2 linked regions of the Astyanax mexicanus genome follow. The protein of the gene in region 1 purifies or fractionates together with the protein of each later gene. This does not show direct contact. Links are inferred from orthologs where the notes say so. Each region holds a gene or a part of one and is shown on either strand. Other genes may lie near its edges.

What was found. The genes of interacting proteins can lie anywhere in the genome.
Region 2: the proteins of anapc4 (region 1) and anapc11 purify together in Homo sapiens (affinity purification with mass spectrometry; 8 studies listed by BioGRID and IntAct, with this or other methods). This does not show direct contact. The link is inferred for Astyanax mexicanus from reciprocal best matches to the Homo sapiens genes ANAPC4 and ANAPC11.

What each region holds. Positions count from the first base shown.
Region 1 is NC_064408.1:65,443,036-65,450,454, forward strand, and holds the start of anapc4 (anaphase-promoting complex subunit 4), read right to left. Parts: upstream 3,023-7,419; 5' UTR 2,845-3,022; intron 2,021-2,844; 5' UTR 1,997-2,020; coding exon 1,889-1,996; intron 622-1,888; coding exon 516-621; intron 423-515; coding exon 290-422; intron 207-289; coding exon 132-206; intron 1-131. Other genes in the region: trappc8 (trafficking protein particle complex subunit 8), read left to right, coding at 4,490-4,646. UniProt on the Homo sapiens protein: Component of the anaphase promoting complex/cyclosome (APC/C), a cell cycle-regulated E3 ubiquitin ligase that controls progression through mitosis and the G1 phase of the cell cycle.
Region 2 is NC_064412.1:28,029,816-28,037,749, reverse strand, and holds the start of anapc11 (anaphase-promoting complex subunit 11), read right to left. Parts: upstream 3,017-7,934; 5' UTR 2,867-3,016; intron 1,677-2,866; exon of another isoform or gene 1,558-1,676; intron 959-1,557; 5' UTR 950-958; coding exon 841-949; intron 1-840. Other genes in the region: ccdc40 (coiled-coil domain-containing protein 40), read left to right, coding at 4,530-4,610, 5,145-5,220, 6,054-6,121, 6,436-6,543, 7,862-7,934. UniProt on the Homo sapiens protein: Together with the cullin protein ANAPC2, constitutes the catalytic component of the anaphase promoting complex/cyclosome (APC/C), a cell cycle-regulated E3 ubiquitin ligase that controls progression through mitosis and the G1 phase of the cell cycle.

The sequences.
Region 1 (7,419 bases):
CCAATGCATGATCTTGAACACCCTTTATTTATTTATTTACATTTGTAGCAGTCAGTTTCCTGTGTCCATTCTATTCTAGTACACAATCTTTAACACATATCAGCAATGAATTACACCTTTGCTGAACTAACCTTTTGGGTAAAATTGGTAGCTTGGGCAGGAATCGGTTGGACTCGTCTTCAGAGTCAGTGAACGATGATGATACACTTTAAATAAAGAGAGAAAACGATTAAACAAACTTATAAAAACAATCCCAATCTTTCTTTTGTGTCATTTAAAAAAATAATACCTGCTGTCACTCTGCACTTCCATCCAGTGCATGCAAGACACGGGGTAGTCTACAGTAAACAGGTGGAGGATCTCTGCCTTCTCAGCATCACACAGGACCACCTGCTTTGTGTCCCCCAGACTAAATGCCAAGACTGCCAACAATAACATACAGGTTCATTATTTTGGGGTTAAGTCAATTCTCTGGCAGTAAGCATTCTCAAATATCATAGAAAGCTTTGGCTTACTTTTGCCATCAGGCCTCCAGGCCAAAGATGTGATCTCTTTTCCTGTATTTTCACTTGGGGGTAAATTCCACACACGCTGAAAGTTGGCAAGGCGATGCAGCAGGAGCTGAAATTAATTTTAAACCCCAAACGTTAACAAACTGGAGCTCAGATACAGACAGTATTTATTAAACGCTCAGCAATATATGTCTGTGTACTAAACTAAAGAAAATCCAAAAATGTTTCCTAGAGGCTTTGTTCATGTTCTCCAGCCTTTTTCACCGACATATTTGAAATGATTATTCTTTCCCATTTTATAAATGGTTGCCATGGTTCAATAGTTGAAAAAAACTTCATAGTGGTTTGATTTAAAATGGTGTTGTACAGTATCTGACAAGCACTACAGAGTTTTATACTGTACTGTGTAATGTACAAAAATATTTGGTAAAACATATATCTAAATGCAGCATAGGTCAAATGCAGAAAAAACAAGCTCTTTAATGACCATTTTAACACCTTATTGTGAGTAAGCTTTTAGGAAAATTTAGTTCGTTGGATGGCTGGTTCCTGTAATCACTACTGTGAGAAATCTATATTTCTCTGGTGTTAAATATTACATAGCAAAACACACTTAGTTCATATACATATAAATAGTTGACTTGTGTCTTTTCCACAAAACATTTAGCGTAAAATTCCCCTTTAATTTTTAGCAATAAATAAGGTATTAACATTAATAACATTTATAATTAATAATATGTTAAGTATCTATTGCAATTGTAACTTAATTCTATGAGTCTGTTCTGTCATTTTAATTAATTATTTTAATTTAAAAAGTGTAGTTTTGTTATAGATTTTTTTCCTATGTGTCTTGTAATTAAATGTGAAATCCAACGTTAAATGGACTTGGTGTGCAGTAAAACATACACTACAATGCACTCCAAAAATGAGTAAGAACTTGTGTCAATTAACAAACCTCTATTTACCCCCAACATTCCAAAATACAACGCTTCTACTTGATGGTCCCAACAGGCTTACAATGCTAGTGATAGGAGGATAGTGTTGCCCATGCAAAGATATTTTTACACCATTAACAAATTCAAAATAGCTCCACACTTTATTGGAAGAAATCTGAGAAGCTTTACATTTAAATGAGGCACTGAGAACTCTGTAAGCCTGTTGGAGCATTGGCTACAAGCTCTGTATTTCAGAGGGGGAACAGAGGTGGGTTATTCCACAAAGGTTCATACTTGTTGACATGTTTCACCAGAGGTCAAATCCATTTTAAACTTAAGTTTAATCGCTGATACACGAGTTGTTTTTAAAGGTAATGTAGTTCTATTTTGTGGAGAAACTATTGACCCTCACTGTGGAGAGTACAGAAACTTTTTCCTCACCTCACCAGCTGTGTTGACCAAAGCGATGAGGTCCCTTTTAGGAGACCAGGCCATGTACAGAACTGGGTTTGGCAGCTGCTTCTCCCCCACTTGTCGGAAAGCAGGCATTGTGAAGCCCTTTCGTTTCCAAACCTGAGGATGGAAAAAAAACAATGCTTAGATTAAAGGGACATCATTTACTGAATGAATCGTCAAACAAACATAAATAAATAACCAGTGTATGCAATTTCTCCAGGTTTGAGCAAAATAATTTCTTCAGAGATTGTCTAGTTTTGCACTGGAGCTACAAGAATGTGCTACATGTGGCTAAAACGAAGTGGAAATCTATACTGGCTTTGTAGCATGAGTACAAAAACAAGAAGCAATGTTCAAGCACCAAACATGTGACCAAATACACTTTGTAATAAAGGGCAATACTGAGTTTTTGATGAACCATTAGTTTATCTAAGCTTGACCAAACAGAATCATTAAACTGTTGTGGAAAATATATCTTTGTTATGATTTAGCTACTGGAGAATGCTAGACCTATCTGTCAAATGTATCCAATGTTTTATAGTATTTACTATACGTTAGCAATTCATTAGTAAGTGACTGGAAACCGAGGCAATAGAATATGAGGTAAGAGAAGCTGTCTACAGTGTTACATTTTTTGGAGGTAAAAACGAGCTCTCTCCAAGTGACAGCCAATCAACGAGCTAGCTAGTCTGTGACAAAGAAGCTAGTTAAAACAACTAGAAATGTCTACTGATGTAAAGCAATATAGTTAACTAGCTACACCTCTCGCGAGCTGGTCAGCCAGGTTAACTGAACTGTGTAAAGAAAGTCTCAGTAAACAGTTAGTTAAATAAACACCTGTCCAACTAACTAGCATGTTAGCTAGCCTAGCTCAGTACCGCTGTAAACAGCACTTAAGACCTAGCTACCTAACTAACGTTGTAAATGTTACGATTACTCACTCGAACGCTCAATAAAGATCATTAACTGTAATCAGGGTGACTTGGACTTGAGCTCTATAATCCCCACACGCGCTGATTTTATCAGAAAAAGCTGAACACTTATTATTAATCCAGTGAAATAAATAAATAACACGCAGTGTGCGGGCTGAGCAGCCCGGCTTCTCTACTACCCGCCGCTAAAAACATAACTACGGAAAGCCCAACGAGACAAGCAGAACGACGAAAAGCAATTTGCCACACAAGCAACGAAAAATAACCATAAATAATGCCCAACGTATAAAACATATTTGAATTCATATAATGTATGCTAACCCCTTGTTTTAATTTTAATTTTTTCATTACTTATATATTATTAATTTGAATTCAATTTATTTCAAAGCTACAAACTATTTAATTGTTCATTTCGTTTACGGACTGTTATAAGATGTTCATAAAAAAAAAAAATCTCTCTTTATAAAAGGTATGAAGAAATATTTCATACCTAATGATTATTGCATGAGATCCTTTATTTTGAGAGCAGAGCAAAGAAGGTTGATTTTCTGGTTGCATTACATCTTTTAAGATTAAGGATGGAAAAACAATCTTAAAACAAGTTTTTGTTTCACATCGCCTCATAGGCATCAGTTAGTAATTCAATTATTTTATAAAATGTTAACTTTAAATAATTAAAGTTTTTGAGTGGTTGGCTGAGCTCTTCTACATCCACAATGCTTTTATGTAAAATGTGCTTACCACAAATAAAAAAAAATAATGTTAGTAATTATTATTTTAATGTGTTTTTACATAGCTAGACTACAGTACCGGATAAAAGAATACAATACAAACAATATATATAACATTATATAGCTTTTCTCACATTTTTGTAGACTGTTACTAAACTTTAATACAAATAATACATTTAAAACCAGACAGTTGAAACAATGTTGAAATAAACGTAAAATCAATATGCACAAATATATCAAATCTGACGTCAGAGATCAACATTATTTTAATACATTAATGACGTAAAAATTATGTTTATATATAAATGTTGCTATCTTTCATTAACCAGATTAGTTACCATTAGTAAAAATCGTAACATTTTACCTGATTAAACTGTGCATATTTTAGTAGTAATATAATATATTATATTATAAGTTGTACATTATTACAAAATGCTTTAACCTGTTGAACAATTACTTGCTCAAGGGCGTCCTCTAGTGTTCTTTCTGTTTCAGCTTTCGTGTGTGCAAAAACGTGTTTTTATTAATAATAAGCCTTAAATTGCTGCGTTTTGGTAGCTTTTACGCCACAATATATGGATTAATATTTCACAACTGGTTTCGCAGTTATTTAATCTATTTTTATTACCCTTGCTTTCTTCTGTTTTACCTCTTTTCACCCTCCTCTACAGACCGCATTAAGACTTTTATTTTGAAGGGACGTGTTTAGGCTGCCTGTCTGGTATCACCTGACAGGCGTGGTGCTCGACGGGAGTTAAATCGGTCAGCAGGGGGGACTGTAGAGTCCATCATGGCTGCTGCGGGCTGTCAGTAGAGGGACTTGTTTTTAACTCTGTAGCGGCTCCTCTGTTCTCGGTGACACTCCCGCGCCCGGCTCGTCTGCTCCCCCGGTTCTCGCTCGGACTGCCCGCTGGACCGGCGCCATGGCCCAGTGCGCCCAGTCTGTGCAGGAGTTCATCCAGGACTCGTTCGTGCCGATGGTGGCCGTCCTGTGCAGCGAGGAGGCGGAGAGAGTGACCCGCAGGAACAGCCTGAGCTTCCCCGAGCTGCTGCGCCCCTTCTGCCGGCTTCCCTCGGAGGGTAAGGAGCTTGGGGTTAACTGGTGGAGGTCGGGCGGGGGTGTCAGGGGCTGTTGAGCAGCGGTAAACACTGGGACGCTCCGCGGGCTTTAACTCGGAGTTAGTTAGTTAGCAAGGCTAGTTAGGTTAGCTAGCAGGCTGCTAACTAGCTCCCCCGGTCGGCCAGCTGACAGGAGGAGCAGTTCAGGGCCCGGTCTGTGTGTCTGTTCCGCTCAGTCTACCGGTTACCTGAGCGATTGGGTTACCCGGATCAAATGACACATTTCCCTTTAATGACTCCGGCTGGACTGTTTGGGTTTCGACTGTAATAAAGGCCTCAGGCCGACAGGAGCTCCAGCAGCAGCAGCGGGCTGAACACCCCGGCTCTGTTTTCGGCTGTTAGCCGCTAAGCTAAGCGCCCGGCTACACCCTCCTTAACTAGCTCATAAACACAGGCTAATCCTCGAGGAGCAGAGTTCACTCCTCTAACAGTAACGAGGAGCGGGATTATGAACAGTTTAGCAGCCGCTGGATTGATTAAATATTGCTGTGTTTGTGCGTCATGGACAAATTTCAAACGAAGCTTCTGTGTTTCTTTTACTTTTGAAATCTCTAGACGAGGTTTCTTCAGTTCCCTTTCTTCACCAACACACACATTTCTGAAACCCGGTCCTGGGGGCACACTGCTCTGCAGTTTATAGTGTTTCCCTGCTAGTAACACACCTTATTCAATTTGTCACAGCTGATTAACACGCCCGTTATTGAGTAATGTGGGTGTATTAAGGCAGGTAAAGGACCAAAATGTGCAGGGCAGTTGGCCTCCATAAAAAAAACACAATAAAAAATTCTGAATTAAGCTCTCTAACTAATACTACAAATAATTTAAAAAAATTGTAGTAGATGTGTTTGAGAAGAAATTGTCCACGCTGTCATAACAAGAAATGTGATCTCAGTTTTTTGTTTTTTTTTCCCATGATCTTGCAAAGCCCAGAGAAGGAAATGGAAGAATATTTGGACAGTACATCCTGCCACCTCGCATGCACAATACTGTATTAAGGGTCACTGGCTATGTTTTACATGCAAAGATTATCTCCAAACCAATGAAATCAATTCAGATTAGAGTACCACTTTTAGGAATTTTGTCAAACTCGTAAGTCTATGTCTTTCGCACCTGAGTTTTGTCTAATTTCAGAGCCAAATCTCTTCTAAGGAGAATGGCCGCATACTTAAATCCATGTTATGCTGTGTTGTTTCTAGACTACCAGAGCAACAAAGGTTCTTACATGTGACAGTTGGCTCACATGTTGTTTTGGTAGCAAAAAGCTCCATCAGTGCACCTCTTGTGCTCTGTATAGTTCTGCCCTTTAGCCTGGCAGTAGCTTTTTTTATGTCCATGCTGATGCTTCACAGTATCTTGTTAGACCCTCTTTCTAAATCTAAAAGAGAACTGTGTTCATTAGATGCTGAAAAAAAAAAAATAGACGTGTGTTTTGAGATTCTTTGAAACTGTACTTAAGCACTTCTAAGAAAACTCAATCTGTTTGGGTCCGCAGAGGGTGTGTTCTCCAAGAACATCCCTGTGTGTCGTCTGCTGATGTAATTTGATTTATTTAGGAATGTTTTGGAACAGTTGACAACAGAGAAAGGCCATTTTTTTGTTTGGCAGCTGTAACATGCACAGATGCACATAGATATATAGAAGGTGCAGTGTCAAATACTCCTGTGTGCTGTTTTAAGCCAGGCGGACACTGCGATTTTAGCCTGATTTTAAGCCCGATCTGGTCGAATGCGACTGAATTTCATGATCGGGCCGAATTTTAGCTTGATCGTGCGTCGTTTGTCGTGCAGTGTGTGAGGGGAAGCGATGTCCGATTAATTGCCCATACGAGCTGCGAATGAGCAGTCGGACGCGACCAGGGATTTCTGACATGCCAGAAATTTTGGTCGCTTGTCTCACAGTGTGAGCTATTTTGCGGGCCGATTTCTTAACGTCACGACCTGTTTTCCCAAAAATCTGCACAGTAACTATAAATTATTATTAGTCATATTTATTTCTGTCAGTTATAAGGATTTATATTTATGTTCGGTACACAGACTTATAGCTTAATGTAGCAGACACAGGCATTCTGCTGTTTAATAATTTCAACAGATGCTTATTCTCAGTCAATAGCTGGAGTTTTTGAAAAGATAAATTAAAAGAGAAAATAACTTTGACAAACATAAATTTATTTTATTTCACTTTGCTATTATATCTGAAAAATAAAGCACATTGTCAGCGTCTGGTGCTGCCCGTCAATTATATAAAACTTAAAACATGCACAGAAATATATAAAGCTATATTTTATAATTCGTTCCTTTTCGCCAGGGCAAATTTATTAAAATTATAAATATATTAATTTATTAATTAAAATCTCGTCCAGTGCTTCAGAATATTAGCCATGCAAAGCCAGCTTAGCGCAGCGCATGGCATTGCGCGCGTCATTGCGCGCAGAATAACCTCTGTCTTCTAAAATAAACGTTTTAATAAATAAGGTCGGAGAAGTGTAGTAAAATTAATGCTATTAAACTTACTAAAGCTAATAAATGTACTGATAATTAATCAAGATAAATCGGACAAAATGCGCTGCGCCGCTCTCTCGCTCTCTTTCGCAGCGCGGAGCTGAATTCAGAGCGAGGCTACAGATAATATAAAACTCAGTTCAGTTGAATAAAAATAAGTAAGGGCCTGTAAGTACAAGCAAAGGACCTGTAAGTAAATATTGTCAAATATAAAGAATAGTTTGAGGTTTTGGTGA
Region 2 (7,934 bases), on another chromosome or scaffold:
AGAGGGTTATGTGTGGGAAACACTCCATTCATCCCAGATCAATACATTGCTTAGAAACCAGAAACACAGTTTGCCTTAGTTTTACCAATGCACAAATATACAATAGAAAACTAAATTTGTTAATATTTGGCACAATTGTACCATTTACCAATACCATAATTTCCTACCTTTTATACAGACATTTCTCCTTTATATGGAAGCCCATTTCCGCCACTATGCAACAGTCCTCCACTAAGTTATAATTACAAGAAATACTAAGTCATTATTACAAAAAGCTGAGTCATAATGATGAGATACTAAGTCATTATTTTTGAGATGAAATACTAGGTCATTATTACGAGCTGTTAATGAATTATTATGAGATGCTAAGCCATTATTATTATTATTATAAGGAGATACTAAGTCATAATTCTGAGATGGCAAGTCATTATTATTGAGATGAAATACTAAGTCATTATTATGAGATGATATGTCATAATTATTAAGATAAGATGCCAAGTCATTAATACAAGATACTAAGCCATAATTGTTGAGAGGAGATACTAAGTCATTAATACGAGATACTAAGTCATAATTACAATATATTTCGTCATAATGATGAGATGTTAAGTAATAATTTAGATACAAAGCATTTTTATTGAAATAGTAAGGCATAATTATAAGATACCAAGTCATTATTATGAAATAATAACCGCAGACTAAGTATATCATAATTATTATGCCTTACCATCTTATAATTATGACTTGGTGGAGGACCCTTATTTTTTCCCTCGAATGGCGGAAATGGATTTCAATACCTTGAAGTGTCTACATTTAGAGTTGTGTAAAAAGATTACTTACAGTCTGGACAGCAGCCATTAAACGGGGCTCTACAGATGCCACAGTTCTCGTCATTGGCCACCCACAGCCAGGATGCCACGCCGTTCCACTGCTTTATCTTCACCTTCATTTCTCACTTCTGAAATTGTGGGGATATGTCCAGTCAATACAAAAAGCTAGCTGAAGAGGTGAAAGCTGTGTGAAAGTAACTTAGCTACCTGCATGGACGCCGTTTAGATAACTAAGCTAGCTAGTTATATAATACATATTATATAGAGTTATGTTACACGGGTTGCAGAACGCAGTGTTAAGAGTTTGTTATGCACTAAAATAAACTCATAACATTTCCTGAGTGTATTGTGGCACCATCTGAAAAACCTCCCATTGTCCAGCAAATCGATATATGGTAGGTTCAGTAGGCGTTTTATCACCACTGGAGCCTGAAACCTGGTGAACAAACCTTAACTTGCTAACCAAAATGGTTTAACCTACACAACAACTTACATTTCAGGAATATTGCAATCAAACGTGAGTGACAAAACATACAAATCAGAAACCTGTCGATGTCTAAATGCAGCAGCTGGGGTCAGGTTATAACTACACACATACTGTAGCTAGCTTGCTAACTAACGAAGCAGCACCATTTAAAGTGGGACCAAACATTCTAAAAATGCTGTGGTGAGAACATAAAACTACGGTTAATATTTTAAGAAAAGTAACAGTAAGAAAAGAAAATACCCAGCCATACAGATAAAGCTCCGCTTCCCTCCCGCTTTCCATTTTATTTACAGCGCCGCCATGAAGCTCCTGTTCAACACTAACAGCTCCATCTCGCCCCCTACTGCCCGGGAGCTCTTTCGGAGTTATGGCTAATATTATGGCGGTTGGCAGACCAACTACAGGTGCACTGCAGCCAATGAGCTGAATGACTTTTGAAAAGTGAATTGCAGAATTTTTTTATTATGAATTAGTTAATTATCCAATTAAATGATAGATCCCAATACACTTAAAACACTGCTTAAGCACTAAGCCAATCACAGGGGCTGGCTGCACCAGCTGTAAGTTAAACATAGGCTAGCTGTAAAAAAAGGCTAAACTAAATCAAATCGTGTTGTCCTACACCAACTAGTATATACGTAGGAACGTATAAATACTAAGTATTTACACAAATCTGAGCAGGCATATGTTTGTAACTACACCAGTGTAGCACATATGTAGACTTTGGATTTGATATAACACCGGCAGATGAAGGCTCTCCAAACCATCACTGACCATCAGTAAATTTTGCATCTCATTTGGAAATCTAGGATCCAGGGTCTGGAGGAAGAATGGAGAGGAACATAGTCCAAATTGCTTGAGGTCTAGTGTGAAGTTTCCACAATCATTGATGGTTTGGAGAGCCATGACATCTGCTGGAGTTGGTCCACTGTTTTATATCAAGTCCAAAGTCAGTGCAGTATTTTCCTTATGTTTCTCTCTACTGATAACTTTTATAGAGATGCGGGTTTTATATTTCAGCAGGATTTGGCACACTGTCCACACTGCAAAAAGCACCTATTGTTTGAGACACTGATTATTGGGTTTCATTGGCTTTTAGGCATAATCATCAACAATAAAAGAAATAAACACTTAAAATAGATCACTGCGTATAATTCATCTAACGTTATATGATATACGAGTTTCGCATTTTGAACAGAATTACTGAAATAAAGTAACTTTTCAATGATATTCTAATCTTTTGAGATGCACTATATAAGTATGAAATAATACCGCTTATAATATATTACCCATAACATTATAGCTACATTATCCACTAACACATGCTGTTAAACCGCGTTTCCATGGCAACACGTTGATTACCAACATGTTATATATTTGTTTTCGTCATGTAAAAGCGTCAATCAGTAACTCTGCGCATGAGTTAGTTGTTACTAGTTAGGACATGCCACACAGATTAGTGGTGCACCCAGATTCAGTAAAATGATAGTTTGAAACTAATAACTAGTAACGTTAGAGACTTTGCACACAAACATAAGAAGAAACTTACGCAAAATTGGTGCAGCCCAGCCCATATCTGTACGACAGTGAAATATAACAAGCAGTGGGTGTCACTTCATAACTCCACAGAATAAACTGGATGTATGAACTGTTTTAAACAGACTCTTAATTTTAAGCACGACACTGCAGCTCGAGTTTGGCGACACCGGAAGTGTGCGGTCTCCTAGCAACGGGTCAAACAGTGCAGGCGGTGGAAGAAGGCAGACCCAGCTTAATCTATCCAAGCTAAGATATTTATTAAAACGATTTTAACTGGAAATGTCCATGATTATTCATATTAATCATTTGAAGGCAGTCTGGTTCAGTTTATCTTAGTGTTTACTGGCCACAAGAGTTTCAGTTTAGGTAAGAAAAAGAACCACTTGGTTCTCTTCTCTTCTCTTCTCTTCTCTTCTCTTCTCTTCTCTTCTCTTCTCTTCTCTTCTCTTCTCTTCTCTTCTCTTCTCTCTTTAGTTTTATCTGTCCTGTTTATTTTATAACTACTTAACTTGTCCATTTTCTTATTTGATTTGCAGTTTGTTATATTGGTGGGAGGTTACTCGAATTTATTCGATTAACTACACTGTTGTTTTTAATGGCATTTTCAAAATGGGATAAGCGAGACTGTACATCTTTGCACAGAGACACTTTCCTAAAATTCTCCCTAACTCATTTTTTAAGATTTTCAGGAAACAAAATAACATGTGACAGTTGTTATGGCTATTAAAAATTAGTAATGGTTATGAAGATAGTTTATCATACATTCAAGCAGTAGAACCAACCAGAAACAATCCTAATTTAAAATTATTTATTAAAAAGACAGAAAACGGAGCCTTTTTATTTAGCTTTATAAATTAATTTTTTTTGCTGACTAAAATGCAGACTAACAACCTCATTAAAACTCAGTGATAAATAAGGCTTGCAATATTTTCAGCCTATAGTCTTTATTAATAAGAAGTAAACTTTAGACTATTGTACTAAGTATGTGTGTATGTAAGATAACTTACCAGCTATGAATTGTATAAATTAGTTCAGTGAAGGCAGCCACAATCTTGGAAAGCTATTAAAATAGCCTCACATTTTATTCTGCTAGGCGTGATAAATTAGCCACAAGATATATAAATGATAATAAATAAATAATTTAATTGAATACCATTTGCAGTGCACACACCTTCGTAATTGAATAAAGGCATTTTTAATAAAGTCAATAGGGTTGGACCACTGTCGAATAGTGGCTGCCCTTACATCACGATGCAGCCTGGCAGTGATTCATTCAGGTATATGTCTTTTAAGATTTTAAGTTTTTTTTGTTGGCTGCTTTACTAGCAGCCATTAACACCCTTTTTCCTGGATGTTTGTATTAATAGCAGAATCATCTACAAGCAGAAATAAAGCTGGAGAAAATGGAAGGTTCTGGTCCAACAGGGAAGATAACATATAACTTACAAAACATCACAATTGTTTGACTGGAGGTCTACATGTTTAAATGTACCACTAAAACCAATTGCTAATTTGTAAAATAAATTGTAAAATTTTATGTGTCCTTTTTCACACATCTCTAGTTTGTTTCACACATCTCTAGTTTGTTATAATGATCATTTTCATTTACCTGTTCTGGACAGTTTTTTTTTTTGTAACTCCACACAGGCCATTTTTTCTTATCTGTTCTTAGGATGGAGAATGGTGGGGAAGATGGAGGAAAGCAGGAGAGGGAGACGGAGGGTCTTCCAGTGGAAGCAGAGGGGGCTGCAGAGGTCAGAAATTGCTTATGGTCACAGCAAGGTTTTCATTCCTATCCTCCCGAATAGGCAGACATTTATTTTATACTAGCAATAAGGATTTAAACATTTAACAATACACTACTATTACATGACTTGTGTTTTTGTTTTAAATTGTTTTGAACTGAAGACTTCTGTGTGCACACTTATACGCAAGAAATTTTAATTTTGATGCTGTGTAGTATTTCTATTTTTGAGTTTGCTGGCATGTCTACAGCCGTGGAAGAGCTACTATTTCAAGTACTTATTTCTATGGATGGGTTGTGAAAACCCAAATCTGAATATGGAGTGTGTAAGATGTTATCTTGGGAGTAAGATTACCTATACAGAGTGTACCAAGAATACTTTATAGAAGTCATTATTACCCACAATGGACATCGCAGAGGATGGTAATAATCATGACCATAAGAGCCTTACTAGAATTGTCTACAGTAAGATTATAGGAGCAGTAGCCTGCACATGGTGGTTTGGTTGTTTAAATGCTCTGATGTGTTGTTGCTTTCTGTGCAGGGTTCAGGCCCAGTTTCACAAACTCACACTGAAGCCAGCGGTTCAGAGACATCTCCCCTCACACACACTCACTCAGGTCTGTATAAGTCTGCCTACGTCAAGAACAGCACAGGCAAACATCAGGAGGAAAATGTATTTTCCACTGTATGGATGCATGGAACACTTTTTGATTAGAAACTTTAACCTATAAAAGCCAATTCACATAAATTCAGTGAGTAACATATGACTAATTATATTTTTTAATATATCTCTTAAAATACGTTTATAACTTGTATTTTAACAGTGTGCTCTAGCAATTGTATCAGAACTAGTTAAATGGAGAGTAAAACATTTATTTAGGGCATTGGAATTGTTAAACTGGTTGGAACAGACCAGTAAAAGCAAAAAGTACAGCTTTAAAGGAGCCACATTTATCTAAAGGACTAACTGAGAGGACTCAAACACACTAAACACACATTCATACACTGTCCTGTGATGCTCTCAGGCTGTTCAGTGTATGTGACTTTATGAAGGACAGAGTTCTGTAACAAATTTTCCATCTCTTTTAAAGGGTCTGTGACATACATCATCATCATGGGCTCTTTTGGGTTAAGATAAAAAAAAGAAACTGAAATTTCTGTAATTGACCAAAGCATACTCCTCAAAATTTAGTAAAAGCTCTTTCAAAAGCAATAGTTTGTTTAGAAGTCACAGTAACACCAATTTAGCAAAAATATAGTTTATCTGCTGAGATTTTACACTGGTGTGAACGAGTGTTATATAACTAACATAGCCTAGAAGCCTATGTTCACTAATCAGCATGTTGATTTGAGGCTTGTTCCTTTACAGTAACGTGAAGGGTGTTTGTGTATGTGTGTGTGTGTGTGTGTGTGTGTGTGTGTGTGTGTGTGTGTGTGATGTGCTTTCCAGCGCAGGACAGCAGTACCCTGCCTGATCCTCCACCGTCATCTCTGCACCTCACATTGGCCAATTCCACAGTAATGAAGCCAAATATTTTTTTCTTTCAGGCTTATATCCTGTTATGATGCATTTATCTAACAATCGAAAAAAAAAAAACAGTTTATAATGCTAGAGATTGTTAACAGAATCCATGTTATCATTTTTTAAATGAAGAGATCAAATTAAATGTTTTTTATTTCAGTTATTGTTTTTTTTCTGGGGCGACTTCAGCTTTAACTCATTGTGATATTTAATTTATCTTAAGATTTGATGAACAGTCTGCAGTACATTCTGAGTGTACTTTTCACCTTGTATGCAAATGGAATCAATAATGATGACTCTACCAATCCAGACGGCTCTCATAAGTGGCGAGAGAGACGAGAGAAGCATGATGATGCAGAGTGAGGATGAAGAAGAAGAAGATGACGATAAAGATCTTATCGTATTGGACCCTGAGCATGTGGGTAACTTTAATTCTTTGTTTTTCACTACTATTTGTAGTTAAGGCACCAACATACAGGTTAAAACCATGTTATATATTGTGCTTAAATCAGACAGTATTGTGTCTGATATGTGCTGACAAATAACTTATTTAACTTATTTATTTTTTGTTCACATATTTACACTTAGAACATCAGCACCCAACACCTAACAGCTAGGTTGCTCTGACCATTTTTGATTCGATCAGCAATATCTCGAACAATATCTCGATCTCAATAACTCAAACTATCACAAATGGACTAATTATACACGACACCACAAGCTCTTTACAGGGGTTCACAGTTAGGCACCTCCCTTCATTAGTATTTGGCTGAATTAAGCTCACAAGACCTCCAGAAGGCTCAACTTCCCCTCCAAGCTCACTACATAGGAAATTACAAGATTTTGCCCACAACCTTGATACCACTATTTGAACATTACACGTACCAAACAGCCTATGTCTACACTCTAAAACACACTATTGCCTTCCCCAACTCACCTCACTCCTTCTCATCCACAACCACTGACTAGATCTCTCAGCTACTTCTGACAGTTCCTTCATGACGGCCCTCAGAACACAGCCACTGAACGCAAATTCCACCAACACAGACGTGATTGACTTTGCTGCAAATCACCTAACACCTATTGCCGTGCATATATCAGAAAGCCTGTCTGATTTTAAGAAAATATTAATAACATTAATAAAATAGATGTCAGGGCGCCGAGTGGTCCAGCGGTCTAAAGCGCTGCCACTATGAGCGGGAGGTCGCAGGTTCGAACCCCAGTTCATGCAGCTTTGCTATCAAGCTGCCGGGAGCAAAATTGGCCCTGCTTCCTCTGGGTGGGTATATGGCGCTCTCTCCCCACATCACTCCTACGGTGATGTCTGCAGCACAAGGCATCTGTGAGCTGATGTATTGGAGCCGAGCTGCTGCGCTTTCCTCCGAGCGTGCTGGCTGCTCGGCAATGCTGCAGCAGCTTGAAAAGAAGTGGTGGCTGGCTTGACCCTAGGTTTGTTTGGTGCATTACTAGTGATAGGGGAAGTCCTAATGAGTGGGTTGGGTAATTGGGGAGAAAATGAGAAATAAAATTATATATATATATATATATATATATATATATATATATATATATATAAATTAGACGTTAATATATGCCATTTTTGATGCCATATGTACATTGTACAATGTATGTAAATATATAATATATGACATGACATGCGACCTTGTGTGTCATTTTCTTGTATACATAATATGATAATTGATTTCATTTATTAATTATCTCATATTTTCTTGCAGCCACTGATGAAGAGATTCCAGTCTGCCCTGGAAAAACACCTCACAGACCAGCTGAAGAGACTTGATCACGAGT